2 linked regions of the Tamandua tetradactyla genome follow. The protein of the gene in region 2 purifies or fractionates together with the protein of the main gene of each other region. This does not show direct contact. Links are inferred from orthologs where the notes say so. Each region holds a gene or a part of one and is shown on either strand. Other genes may lie near its edges.

Region 1 (7,290 bases), on a different chromosome or scaffold from region 2:
GGTAAACCAAAAACCCTTGGACTGGAATCTCTCTCAGCATTCAGTCTTTTCCCTGGAGCATCACCAGTGCACTCCTACCAATTTCCTCAACTCTTTGGGTTATCTTCATGCACACTGAGGATAAGCGATGCTGTTCTGAAAAAGTTTGAAGTTTAATGCACATTTCTATTCAAACATTTATCATCTAATAAAAAGTTCTCATATAGCACTTACAGGTCTCAAAGTTGCAGGTTAAATATAAAAGAACTACATACATCTCAATTATGTGCCTGGTTCACAGCAGGCACTCAAATATTTGCTGAATGAATAAAAGAATCTGATGATCACTTTGAGAGGGCGAAAGTTCCCAAAGACTACATTTTCTACATACTCATCACCAAAAACAGACCAAACCAAATCAAACCAAACACATACTAAAACTCAAAATACCCTCTATTAGTAAGATCAAAATGAAAAAAGAAAACTGTGCTGCTGAAAATAAACATATCAGAGATGTAAGAAAAGTATACTTTTCTAGACACTGTAACCCTAAAATAATAATATAAATGTATAAAGTATAAAGACAAAGGGGATATAGCCACTGACATCATTCAACTGAAGGGTGTGCAAATATTTACTGCAACATTTTGTATGTGCTATCATGGAAGGCATATGTGTCTTTGCAATTTCTGCACCAAGCACAGGGCCTGGAACATAGTTATGCGATCATAAATGAGTGAATGTAGATATACATGAATGAATACATATATGGTATGGAAGAGAAGGAAGTATGAACTGTGACGCACTCTGGAGACAAGGCAGTGTTTTCACAAAGCAAGGACCATGTGATTTGAGTCTAGCAAGGTAAGACTCAATCTGTATTTCAGGCAAAAGGAAGATCATGCACAAAGGGGAAGAAAAATAAAAGCAGCTTAGTTTAGTTATCTAGAGGGTAGGTGCAAGAGATGAGACAGAAAATATAGTTGGCATCCCATTATGAAGAATTTTGGGCATTATCACATAGGCACTAATGGCAGTTACACAATCCTGAAGCGTAGAATGAATAGATCTGTGTTTCAGAAGGGCTATTTTGGCAAAAATGTGGATGAATTAGAGGGTAGTAAGACTAGAGAAGGGAAGCTTAGTTTAAGGGGTCGCTGCGTAGTTAAGGCAAGAGATAATCAAGGCAGGATTTAAAGCACCGTAAATATCACTACCTAGAAATTTATCCAGAGCCTTTGGTATCTATAGACTATCTTTCACAAACTAAAAGCCTAAAGAAGCCTGAGAACCTAGACTGGGAGTCTTACGTCATAATCGTTCAGCGCTAATCCCAGAAATAGCCCATCACTTCCAGGATGGGAGAGACTGCCACTTCCTCACCTATATCAACTGTACTGACTTATCCTTAGAAAAGATCATTGTTGAGAGAGTGTCTCCATGTTTTGGAAGCTGAAGACATCAAACAAGCTCTTTTGTTTTCTGAAGGCAATGACTGATAGTGAAGAGAACCAATGAATTCTGCACAGTCTTCTAGCGTCTGCATAACCCATCCAGCAGTCTGTATGAGGTCTCTTTTCACAGAGAACGTTACCTGGAGCTTCACACTGGATAATCACACTGGCCTGACTCCAGACATGTAGGCATTGTAAATACAGCAGTGCGAATTTATTTATTTAAGAGAAGCCATACCGAGCCCGAAGTCTCAGGATTATGAGAATCCTAAAAAGGCCCCAAGCAGAACTTCACGATAAAACCAGCATGGGAGCAAAACCAGCAGGCCCAGGCCAGAGTTAATCCACCGTCCACTGCCGAAGAGAAGAGGCATGACAGAAAAGGACAGGAAAGATTATGGGTTTCCGACACACCTGGCTGTCCTCCGCTCTGGGCCCCTCTAAACGCTCAGCACCCAACATTTGCGCGGCGGGAAGCGGCCTTGCGAACCACAGCCGTGCAGCGACCCGGCTGGGGGCAGCGGCCGAGGCAGGCGGGCAGCGGGGACCGGCCGGCCGGTGGGCGGCACGGGCCGGGAGGAACGTCCGGCAGCCCGCGGAGCCTTGCGCGCCCAGCTCCGCGTCCCCTCCCCCTTCATCGGCCCGAGGACCTCGATGCACGAATCGCCATCCTTCCGCACACACAGCCCTCCCGAGAACAGAGAGAGTCAAAGAGGCCGTTACCTGGAGTCTCTGAGGTAACCGCCACTGGCCCACACAAACCAGATTGGGCACCCGCCACCGCGACCCTTCCCGACCCTATTAAACACCGGCGCGCGCTGGATGACGTCACTTCCGCCAGTGCCCCCTCGGCTTCAGCGAGCTAACCATGCTCGAGTGACGGCCATGGGAAGTGTGGGCACATGTCGCTTCCCTATTCCTTGAGCGCTCGGTTTACGGGAAATTAGGGTGGGAGCTCTTCGGAGAGTTCTGGGGCGGGGCCGCTTTGCCATAATACTTCCTAATTGGTCGGTGATGGATGCAGGAAAGCAATATATGCTTAAAAAAAAAAAAGAAAAAATATATATTTAAACCAAGTAGTTTTGTAACCTTTGGCAGTTGACATCTGTGCCTGGGTTTCTTCGTCTTTAAAATGGGATGATACTATTTACCCTGCAGAGATGTTGTGAGATTCAGTTAATAGATGAACAGTGCCTGGCACATGGTAAGCATTCATTGAAGGTTACCTAATTCTTCTTAAAAATATATAATGATAAGTAAAACAAAAAGATAGCCTTAATAAAGAGATTCAATTGTATTTATAATTCTGCTAGTAACATCATGATGGTTGATCTCAGTTGTCAACTTGGCTAGGTTATGGTGGTGTTTGGTCAAGCGAGCACTGGTCTTATTGTTTCTGTGGGGGTCTTTTGAGATGGATTTAAGTCATTGATCAGTTCATTGCATCTACTGTTGATTGCATCTATAATGTAAAAAAGATATTGCCTTCAGCAATGAGAGGATTCTTCTTATCCAACCAGTTGGAGGCCTTAAAGAAAGAACTGAGGATTTCAGCAGTCAGAAAGAATTTCTGTCTCTACTTCAGCCAGTCAGCTTCTCCTGGGGCATTCAATGACATCATCACAGAGTTTCCAATTTGCTGCCTGCCCTATGGAATTCAGTTTTGTCGATCCCCAAGTTTCTGTGAGCCAATTCCTATAAGTCTCTTAATATTTACATATATATATATATATATATGTATCTGCCAGTTCAGTTTCTCTCAGAGAACCCTATCTAATCCAACCATTTTCGGCAATCTTAGTTGTTTCTTAGTTCGTTTACTTCTGTATGTTTGATTAGAACCCAGCACACCTTGATTTCTCGCTTCTAGTTTTTTAAAAATGAATAATCATATATTGTACTGCTTTGTTTTTTATTTGCTCTTTATTTTTTCTGTTTTATCAGTGAGGTGGTCAGCAACTTAAGGATCGGAAGTGTTATCTATGCTTTTTGTATCGCGTACTATATCTGGCACCTTGTTAGCCTATGGAGAGAACTGAATAAGTACAATACCTCTTTCTGCATAACATCAAAGAAAATCCTTTGTTTATTTATGGGAAATATGGAAAATATTTCAACATTTAATTAAACAAGTACTTTCAAAAACATTTTCTGATCCCAGATTTTCTGTATATATCGTGTAGTCCACCTTGTCTTGCCAGGAACCTGCAGAATAGAGTCTGCTTAAATTCGATGGACCCTTAAGATTGAAAAATGAAGCAGGCCAGTTGATAAGCAACAAGGTAACAGTTCACTGGAACTCAAAGCCTAGGAGGCTGGTCCTGGGCGGGTGCAGGGCATTCGGAGCAGCACTGCGCATTGCTTGGCGGGTTACAGCGTCTACGCAGGCCAAGGAAGGTATGGAGCAAGGTTGGGATTTGCAGATGGTAAGCATGTCTTTTGGTTTTACGTTACGTGTTTTATGGCTAGAGTATATACCTAGGATTGGAACTTTTGGCCCACAAGGTATGCGTATCTTCAATTATGCTAGACGCTAATCTGTTAATTGGCTATTCCAATTTACATTCCCACCAATAGCGTTTTCCAGTTTCCGTTTCTCCTCATTTTTGCTAATATTTTATATGGTCAGACTTTTAAATCTTTGGCCATTCGGAGGGAATTCGAATTTTTCCGTAAGAAAAAAACCCACAAGCCCTTTACATTTTTGTCTGCTTTTTTTGGACTAGGGAGCGCCGAGGTACCGACACATCCTGGCAGCGCCGGTGACCTCCAGGAGCACCGAGGAGTGCATGATAGAGCGGCTTGGAGGTGGGCGCCGAGGAGCAGCCGGAACTGACGTGTTCACTTCCGGAAGTGAAGTGAAGTCACTTCCGGCTGGAGCCGCCATCTTGCTGTGAGACAGCAGGTGTCGGAGCCGGAGCTGCATCTGGGGCTGAGCTATGTTATCTTCAGCAGCTATGCACTGTGGTCTTGACCGAGAGCTGGGGATGGAGCCATACAGAACCGCGGGTCCCTCCCAGTTTCGCTTTTCACCCTACGCCTTCAATGGAGGGTAAAATCCATCGAGAGCCGCCGCTTTTACTTTCGCCCTTGTCCACTCTGCAGACGCTTATTTGGGGTCGCCGGCGGGAAAGGCCCTGCCCTGTCTCACCCTTCAGGCCTTCAGGACCCTTAGCTGTGTGCGTTCACGCAGCGGCACAACCCCTTCCCTTTTCTCCTTTTCCCTGTGTTTCTCTGTTCATGCCTGGCTTGCTCGGTTTCGCATTGCGGTTTTCAGGGTTTCTTCTTACAGTTTAGTCGTTTGGGTCTTTATGTGGACGACTAGTTTACGGTATAGCTTGCTTCTTGCCGGAACGAGGCAGTAAATAGAAAGGGAAACATCTGCTGTGTGGAAGACCCTGTCGTGTTTGAACACATTTCCCATGTCAGCAGGTTAGGACAGGTTCAGGATTTGAAATAAAAACGTTATAATTGAACCACGTTGGTAGAGGCTAGTTTTGTTGCAGCTGAAACGTAGTCAAAAGCTTAATCATTTTCTCATAAGTTGAAGCTGGCCAGACTTAATAGATTATTCATTTTTTTTCTTTTTTAGAAAGCTTAGCTTAAGTCCAGAAAAAAATGCTCAGAAGGGGTCCCTTTTGATATGTGTATTTTTTCATGTTTTTTGGTAACAAGCTTTTTTTTTTTAAGGTAATACTTTCCCCTGGTAGTGTACCAGAAGAATCAGTTAGGACTCTGACAGTGAAGAGCTATAAATAGAAGCGGTGGTTATACTTTATCAGTCAGACTTTGTAGAAAAAATTGCGTACAATTCGAACAGATAGTTCAGAAAGACCAAAAACATTGATTAGGTCCTTATGAATTTGAAATGTGGATGCAGATTGTTGGAAAGCAAGAGTATGTTGGAAACCAAGAGTTAAAGGCTGCGATTTTAGACCTAGTTTTGCCACCAAAGGGCTGTGCAGTTATGGGATACCTCTCTCAACCTCTTGAGCCCCAATTTTTTTCATCTACCTTAGTTCTTAAATTTTGGGGGAGAATCAAATGAGAAGCATTTTATAAATGGCAAGGAGTTATGTTACTTTAGTTCCCCTAGTGGCTGAATATTAGATGATATTGGCCTCTTTTTTTAACAAATGAACCTGAGGCTCTTAGAAATTAAATTGTCCCTGGCTACAACAGCATACAGAACTGGGGTGAAGTTGAGCCAACACTTGAATTCATCTCTTTCACCCAACAGTTTTTGTGGGCTCCTTCTCAGCACTTCCTGTGATAACTAATTTCGTTGTTATATTATTGTAAGGTGGATTAGACCCATTTCATAAGGTAGCTGTAAATTCTTTATAAGAAGAATTTTCAAGGCATTCAGTGTTCAGTACTTGTCACTCATTCTTAACCCATTGTAATCTAATTTATGCCATTACTGCCTTAAAAGTTACTCAAGACTTTGTTATATTCTTACCTTTTCTCAAACTTTGTTATATTGTTACCTTTTCTCAAACTTTGTTCTTTTTCTTTACTGTTCATTGCTGTTGGCTCTTAAAACTCTACTTTTTGCTTCTACAGCATAAGGCTTAGTTTTGTACATCTTTCTACTCTTAACTCTTTATTTTATTTTTTTAAATTTAGTACCAAATAAACATTTTTTGCTTTAGTCTCACACGTAAGGTAAAATTTTAAAATATTAATTATGATCTGTTTTCGGCACTCTGCACTAATGACATTCCTTTGTTCTTCCTCATGCAAAAACGTTCTTTAAATTTGTGCATTTAGTCACCATCACTATACACTTTAGGTGTTCCTAGATTATACCATCTCAATCTTTAACGTCTTATCTTTCTTTCTGATTTCGTTTGTGCCCCCAGCTCTCCTCCCTCTGTCATTCTCACATTCAGCCTCATTCAATGTTCCAACATCATTGTATTACATTTAGGTAGTATTGTGTTGTCCATTTCTGAGTTTTTACATTCAGTCCCGTTGCACAATCTGTATCCTTTCAGCACCAATTACCCAACATCTTACCCTATTTCTATCTCCTGATGGTCTCTGTTACCAATGAAATTCTCCAAGTTTATTCACAAATGTCAGTGAGACCATACACTATTTGTCGTTTTGTTTCTGGCTAATCTCACTCAGCATGATGTCCTTAAGGTCCATCCATGTTGTTACATACTTCATAAATTTATTCTGTCTTACGGCTGCATAATATTACATCGTATGTATATACCACGGTTTGTTTAGCCACTCGTATGTTGATGGACATTTTGGCTGTTTTCATCTCTTTGCAATTGTAACTAACGCTGCTATAAACATTGGTGTGCAAATATCAAGTTTGTGTCTTTGCCCTCATGTCCTCTGTCTACTCTTAACTCTTTAAATGTAGTCAACCCCAAGTTATTAACCTCTGTGTTTTTCACCCAGCACTCTCACATATCTCAGTCTGGCTCGCATCATCATCCCCAGAAGGATAATTCCAAATCTATTTCTCTGCCTCTGCCTCTCATGAGTCCCTCAGTTCTGATTTTTTATAGTATATTTCTACAAAAAGAAAAAAGCTAATTATTTCTCTTAATCAGCTCTCCTTATTTATAATCTTTATAATGCCGTTGTGTTCATCCAAGTTTAAAATCTTGTATGTCGTAATTGGCTCTTCAGAAAAACTTGTTCATTTCATTTTAAATGTATTCTGGATTTACCTGTTTCTTTCTATTCGCCTTGCTGCGTTCCTATTTCATTAGTCTTATTAGAGCAGCTCCCCTTCCCATTTTATATGAATGTAAAATATGTTGTAGTAATCTTTATCTGGACCTCTAGCTTAAGTTTTGTTTAACAGAGGAGAATTTTTAGCTCTTGTTTT
Region 2 (7,622 bases):
TAGCAGTATGGAAGTCTGCAAAAATGTTAGTTACAAGCAAAACTGTGTTTTGCATTTGGCTGTTCTGCCATTAGTGACATTAACACAAGCAAAGTGGAGTAAAATGGGGGCAGAAGCCTAATTTTAGTAGTTGAAGAGGGCCTTGGAAGGAAGTGGCAATTTAAGCACAGAAAATTCTTATAAATACAAGGGAACAAATTCAGTAGAGCAGGAGAGATTATTGACTGGAGATGGAATGATGAAGTGTTAACAAGACAAAAAAAAAAAAAGGCCTAATTTCCCGGTGCCTGCCCATGCCAAAAAAGAAAAAAAATATTGCCTTAGAAAGGAAGAAGGCAGGAGGTAAGGAGGTGTCCAGATTTAGATAGATCTGTAGGGGTAAGGGTGGAGGTGTAAAGCTGTGAAGTGTGTAATGGTAAATAATGATATCGATAATATTCACATTCATCTTCACACATATACAGTCCATCCAAAGTATCAATGGCCCATAACATTACCACATAGTTGTCCATTTTTAGAACACTTGTACCACTGCAAGAAAAGAAATAAGGAAAAAGAAAAAGCCCATACATCCCATATCCCACACTCATCCCTCCCATTGACCATCAGTATTGCAATTAACCCCAATTTTTTTTACCCCGCATTCCCCCTCTATTATTTATTTCCTATACTTATTTTTTTACTCATCCGCCCCTACACTGGATAAAGTGAGTGCCAGTCACCAGGTTTCACAATTGTAAAAACTATATATAGTTACACACAGTAAAAACTATATATCGTCTTCAAGAATCAAGGTTACTGGAACATAGCGCAACAGTTTCAGGTACTTCCCTCTAGTCGCTCCAATGTAACATAAACCAAAAAGATTATCTACATAATGCATAAGAACAACCTCCAGGAAAACCTCTTGATTCTTTAGTTTGAAACTTCTCAGCTACTCAAACTTTGTCTCATTTTTCTCTTCCCCTTTTAAGTCAAGAAGGCCCTCTCAATCCCATGATGCCAGGTTCCAGCTTATCCTTGGGAGTCAAGTCCCACGCTGCCAAGAAGATTCACACCTCTGGGAGACATGCCCCAGGTAGGGGGGAGCACAGAGAGTTCACCTGCCATGTTGGTTTACAGAGACAGCAAGCATTAACATTTAGTGCATAATTACCATGTGCCAGGTACTCTTCTACATGGAACTAATTTTGCTTCAAAAACATTAGTTAAATATAGGGAGCGAATCAGATAATGAAAGCTTAGTTTCTTTCAATAGTTGGGAATTGAACATTTTGATGTAGCCTAAAAACAAGTGTTATTACCAAGTAACGTATGCAACAGTGACTTTACCCCACCATATCTGACCCTCTTTTCATCCAGGCACTCAGCTTAATCCTGATCCAGGGGCATGCTGAGTAATAGTGTTTTTACATTTTTTTTTTATTATTACATGGGCAGGCACCAGGAAACGAACCTGGGTCCTCTGGCATGGCAGGCAAACATTCTTGCCTGCTGAGCCACTGTGGCCTGCCCATGTTTTTACACTTTAATTAATCTGTTGTAACTCCCATTAATAAGAAAGCTAAAGAACCAAAATAGCCCTATGAAAATTTTAACATCACCGGTGTAGTAGGTTGAACAGTGTCCCCTAAATCCAAGCCTAACCAGAATCTCAGAATATGACCTTATTTGGAAATAAGGTCTTTGCAGACATAATTTGTTAAGCATCTTGAGATAAAATCTTACCAAATCTAATAACTGGTGTCTTTAAAAGACGAGAAGAGCACACAGATAGATACAGAGATGATGACGATATAAAGATGGAGGTAAAACCTGAGGGATGCGTCTACAAGTCAAAGAATACCAAGGCAACCATCAGAAGCTAGAAAAGTATGGGATCGTTTCTTCCTTGGAGCCTCCAGAAGAAACCAACCCAGCCAATACCCAAGTTTTGGACTTCTAGCCTTCTGAACTGTAGAAGTATAAATTTGTTGTTTTAAACCACCCAGGATGTAGTAATTTTCTATCGCTGCCCTAGGCAACTAATACAACCAGAAATTTACAGCAAGATGATTAAAAAAAAATGTATTAGTGAATTCTCTCATGATCATTAAAGAACTGAATTACTCTGATAAACTGTCCACAGTTTTACTGTGGCCAGGTATGACTTCCCCTTGAACTGTGAGCTCTTAAGGACAGGGATAGGGATTATTGATCTTTTATTCTTTCTCAAGGCCTGGCACAGTATTTTGTAAATAGTACAAGCTCAAAGTTTGTTTAAGGAATTAACGCATTATGCTGAAAAAAATTAAATTACACTTTCACTTTACACCTGAAATGAGAAAATCATTAGAAATGACTGGATCTCATTTTAACTAAAATAGTCTAAAAAATTTACTGCTCACTTACTAGATACCAAGTAATTTTTTTGGGAAGACACACCTGAAGAAAAACATGGGTCTAAATGGGAGACAATTAATGAACTAAAAGGTTTAGGCTATGAGTCTCCCAGGTGCTAATTCACACACAAGAATACATATTTAACATTAATGAACTAAAATGGCTATGAGTAATTTCCGAGATTCCAAAGAGGCCCTACTAACATCAAAATATCTTAATAAATAACTGGATAGTCATTTAGACATCTAACTAAGAGTAGATTTATTTCCCTCAAGTCTAACCTTTTTGGAACTCAGGGATTTCAGACACATTTTGATACATCAAGTTTTAAAACATTCATTTATTCAAGTTCTACTTAAGAGAAAGTAGAATAGCTAAAAAGTGTCTTCACATGTTATAGTGGTAACATTTTGCTTTTAGTTCTAACAAGAAAGTCTTTAATGATTTTCATTCCTCTTGGCTTATGTATCAAAATAAAGATAAATATAAACCTTTAAAAGATTATTTCCCTCCATAAAATACAACTGCAAGTAGTTTCCAAATGAAGCTCTGTAACTGGAGTGAATGAAAATAGAAGTAGCAACTGAATAAGGACCCAAGTTAAAACATCATAAAATCGGACATGGCTTTCAATTCTGGAATAATCTAAATGTCTTCAGCTTATTTCTAATAGCTGGTTAAATATTCTATAGTTGGGAGAGGGGTTCTATTAATTATTCCTGCCTATATTAAAAAAAGGATACTCTAATAATATTACTTACAAAACTATACTGCTATATATGATTGTATCCATAAAAATTTGAATATTGCTTGAATGGAGCAACACACAATATTCTTTTTACTGGCTTTCCTTAATTTTCCAAATATTTTATTCTAACGTGCCTTTTTCCCTTTATTATAGTAGTTGTGGGTTTAAGAACAATCATGCATAAAATATAGGATTCCCACATATCACCTTATTATTAACACCTTGCATTTGTTGTGGAACCTTTGTTACAATTGATGATGGCACGTTTTGATAATTGTACTATTAACTTTAGCCCATGGTTTAACTTTGGGTTTCCTGTTTGTGTGGTATAGTTTCATGGATTTAAAAAAATTTTTATTATTTGTATACCTGCATTCTAACATTTCCCGTTTTAGCCACATTCAGATCTATATTTCTCTACTGCTAATTATATGCACAATGTTATGCTACCATCAAATAGGAACACTGTTTAAAGAGTTTGTTGGCAAAGTTGAAAACCTGTAGGAGTATTAATTGTTCATGATATCATTACAGCTTTGTTATCAAGTATTACAAAGCCATAAATAATCTCTTTAAAATAAGACGAGGACCCTGATGCCAAATATGATTTCAATTTGCATGGCTTTAAATAGGTTCAGTTGTCAGTAGGATCAAAATTAACCTCAACACAGCAACTGGAGTCAACCAAGACGCCACATCTCTTCAGAGACAACCTACATGTATCAGTACTGCAGTTAACTGACTTTTACCTTTTCTTCTTTTGTAAACTAGTGACACATCCTGTAATAAGCAAGAGGACTAAGCAGATGACCTTGGCCTCTGAAAGCTGGCCCACACTCTCGGGCTACATTCGCAGTGTTTACATGGGCGGCTTCAGGTAGAAAGAGGATGGGATCAAAGATCTAGCAGGGAAGGAGGTTTCTATCCCGCCTCGGGGCTGGGGGCTATCAGTGCCATCTCTGCTGCCTTTTGGAGACGACTCGTTCCAGACAAAACAGGGGCGACCAAGTCCCAGCACGTTTCTCGGGTGGGTGGACAAGGGGGCTCTCCAACCCTCCTAAAGACTAAGGAGGTTTCCGGAAAGTATCTCCTCCGCTTTCTGTTGCATCGCTGACAGCCCGGCTCGGTGGCAGAATTGCTTCTCCGGCCTAGTTCCAAGATGGCGACGGAACATCGAGAGGTTCAGCGTAGCCGCGGGATACCTCCTCTTCCCAGCGATCCCTGCGCCGGCGGCGATTGCACTGAGGTGTGTGTGTGTGTATGTGTGTGTGTGTGTATGTGTGTGTGTGTGTGTGTGTGTGTGCGCGCGGCGGACGGCGGCAACCGGAGCGGGCTAGGAAAGACGGTGGGGTTGGGAGAGGCTGCGGCGCGGAGCCCTCCCGCCTGCGTCCCGGCCCCGCCCCGCGTCCCCGCGTCCCCGACCGGAGCCTTCTCCAGGCCGCGGCGCGCGCAGCCTGCCGGGATACTCAGCCCGCCCATCCAGTCCTCCCGGCTTGCGCTGCGGCCGCGAGTTCTGTGTTTCTCCCAAGATGGTGGCGCTGGGCTCGGGGTGACTGCAGGAAACGACAGGGCACCGATAACCCGCCCTCCGCTCGCTCGCGCACCCCGCCGCCACGTAGCCAGCCACCGGCCCGGCGCCCGACAGCTGCCGCCGCTGCCGCCTTCTGCTTCGCCTCCGCCGATCCGGTTCTTTCGGCCGCGGGCGGCGGCGCCTCCTTCGGCTTCTCCTCCCGGCGGTCTCTGAGCGGCTCGCGGCCTATCCCCGGCCAGTCAGGCCCGCAGCCCCCCCGGTGTGGACAGGCAGCGGTAGAGCAACAGCTGGCGACGAGCGTGGGGTCCTCGGCGTCCCTAGCCACTTTGCCGGCCTCGGCCTCCAAAGAAGGAAGCGCGGGTCCCGCATGAGCCCCGGCGGTGGCGGCGGCAGCGAAGGGGAACGAGGCGGTGGCGGGCGGAGGCGGCGGGCGGAGACGGCGGGAGAGGGCGACGACGACCAGTGAGTCGGCTGCCGCTACGAGGTCCGCGGCCCAAGCGCGGGAGCGACGGCAGGTCAGTGTCTTGTCAGAGGCCTAGCGGGTGGGCCAGGCGGAGTGGGGCGCGGCCTTCTTTCCTCTGTCCTCTCGGGCTGAACCCTCCACCTCTCGCCAGGGTGAGTATTTGGGGGCGCGTAGTCTCGGGGGGCCGGTGCAAGAATTAGGCCCCTTCTGGCAGAGCTTGCTGCCTCTGTAACTGTCAGTCCTGATTGCGCGGAAGGGAGGGTTTTGTTGCCTGAGGGTACAGGAGCGAGCCTGGGGTGGGGCGTCCAGGACTGCAAGAGCAGGCCTGGCTCGCTGAAAGGCCGGCTGAGCCAGGGTCCAGGTCAGGAAAGAGCTGTCCTTTCCCTGCCAAGGGAAGCGCTCTCGATGTTTTCGAGGTCTTGGACTCTCTTGGTGAAGAAATCTTCAGGCGTATGCTTGGTGAATTGGGGTTTGGGGAGGTGGACTGATGGGAAGGGAAGACGACGGAGGAACTGGCGTGTCAAGCCTCAGGGTTGCGTTCACAGACTGTTCAAGTGTTCCTCGTTGCCAAGATTCTAAAGTTGAATGCGAGTTAGTGGGTTTGCCAGAGAATGTATTAAATGCAGACCTGCAAATAATTGCTCCCCACCCCCTTTTTTCTTTTTCCTTTTAATTGAGAGAATGGGAAGGGAACTTTGCTCATTTTGGTGTGCAGGTTTTGATTGGAAAAGCCAAAATCGAATACGACAAATGCTTTAGGCCATTAGGGTTTTAAAAATAGATGTAGTACAGACATTGTTTGGTTAAGTTTAGCGTCCTAGAAAGATAATTTAGTCTCTAAATTTTTAAAAACTTCTTATGGGTGTGCTAAAATAGAGACAATACAGAATCTGATTAGAATTCTAATTAAGTGGCTAAAATGCTGTTAATAAAGTAAACTAATAGCAGATGGGATTTATTGTCCAAAGTTAACCCTCGGTGATGATGAAATATGAATTTAACCAATAATTTTACATCATTCCATTTCCTGCAGTATTTGAGAGAAGCAACTAATTATCCAGACATTTTGGGGGTGGGGAGAAGGAAGGTGAACTAGAAATGACCTAAAGTTTAAGAAGTACAAGCATTAAAATGTTACATGTTAAACACACCGCAGGTGCACAATAAATTTTGTTGAATTGACTGGACAAGTGGAATGAGAAGTGTTCTCACACCTCTGACTAGTAAGTACCCTTACTTAAATTATTTTCAAGCCATGAAATAAAATCTACAACTCAGGAGAAAAGAAGAGAAGTTTTGTCATATGCATGAGAGAGCTTTGGAATTAGACCCCGACTCTTAAGTCTAAGGTATATATAGCATTTTTAATGAGATGAATGCAATATTAATGATGCTTTTGAAGAGTCCTAAGGCTGACAAGAAGTGCTTTAAATAAACACTATTAAGCATTACAAAAAAGTAAAAACTTAAATGAATAACTCATTTACAAAATTAAAATGTAAACTACGGAAGTCTTACTGTGTCACTATTTATTAACTGTTGTGAGTGGTAGTATGTACGTCATTTTCTGGACATTGTCCCATCCCTGAGGAATCTGCCTATAATTTATAAAAATAAAAATATAGTGCTTTTATGTCTTTTCAGATATTATGTAAGGTGTTTTTATTTTATCTTTCTTATATTGAAACTTTTTCATGGCTTAAAATTAATTTCTTAAGTACGGGTACTTACTAGTCAGAGGTTTGAGAACACTTCTCATCCCACTTGCCCAGTCCCTTCAACAAAATTTATTGTGTACCTGCAGTGTGTTTGACATATAACATATTAACACATTGTCATCCCACTTCCCCAGTATACTTACTAAGATTTATTGGGTGCCTAAAATGTCTGTGACCTGTGAGATTTTAATAGCTAAGATTTCTGAAACTTGAGGTTATTTCTATTTTAATACCCTTCTCACTTTCCTTTGAAAAAATCCGAAATAATTTGCTGTTTTCAATATTGCAAGCAGTGAAATGTTTCAAAACTGTCTGTAAACTTTTCAATCCAAGTTGAAATGATGTATCCAAATGTTTCTTAAGTCCTTACTGGTTATGTTCCCCATGCACTCTTATATATAGACCTATAATAAACATTATATTAAATGCATATGCAGTTTTTAAAAAATCAGCTTTCTAATTCATAGTGAAGCTAAATTTTCCAAAGTAGCTTTTTAAATAAACTACTTGAATAAAGGTTGGACAATTTGATGGTTCAGGAAACAGAGTTTTGGTTGGTTTTGATAATTTTCACCCCACTCCAACTGTGAAGATAAAATATAATCAGAGCTCTCATAGTATCTGTAATGGAAATTAGACCCTGTTTTTAATTGTGGCCTTATTCCAGCAATCTCACGATTGGCAAGTCATTTAATCTTGGTGAGCCTCAGTTTTGTCATCTGTAAAATGGGATGGCTAAAGCTACCTCAGGGTTTTTTTGAGGATTAAGGTATATGAAAT

What was found.
Region 1: the proteins of UBE3A (region 2) and PSMB1 purify together in Homo sapiens (affinity purification with mass spectrometry, with the first as the bait; 3 studies listed by BioGRID). This does not show direct contact. The link is inferred for Tamandua tetradactyla from reciprocal best matches to the Homo sapiens genes UBE3A and PSMB1.

Annotation. Positions count from the first base shown.
Region 1 is NC_135330.1:84,881,544-84,888,833, reverse strand, and holds the start of PSMB1 (proteasome subunit beta type-1), read left to right. Parts: upstream 1-4,280; 5' UTR 4,281-4,372; coding exon 4,373-4,485; intron 4,486-7,290. UniProt on the Homo sapiens protein: Non-catalytic component of the 20S core proteasome complex involved in the proteolytic degradation of most intracellular proteins. This complex plays numerous essential roles within the cell by associating with different regulatory particles.
Region 2 is NC_135338.1:78,190,445-78,198,066, forward strand, and holds the start of UBE3A (ubiquitin-protein ligase E3A), read left to right. Parts: upstream 1-4,608; 5' UTR 4,609-5,176; intron 5,177-5,442; exon of another isoform or gene 5,443-6,280; 5' UTR 6,281-6,347; intron 6,348-7,622. UniProt on the Homo sapiens protein: E3 ubiquitin-protein ligase which accepts ubiquitin from an E2 ubiquitin-conjugating enzyme in the form of a thioester and transfers it to its substrates.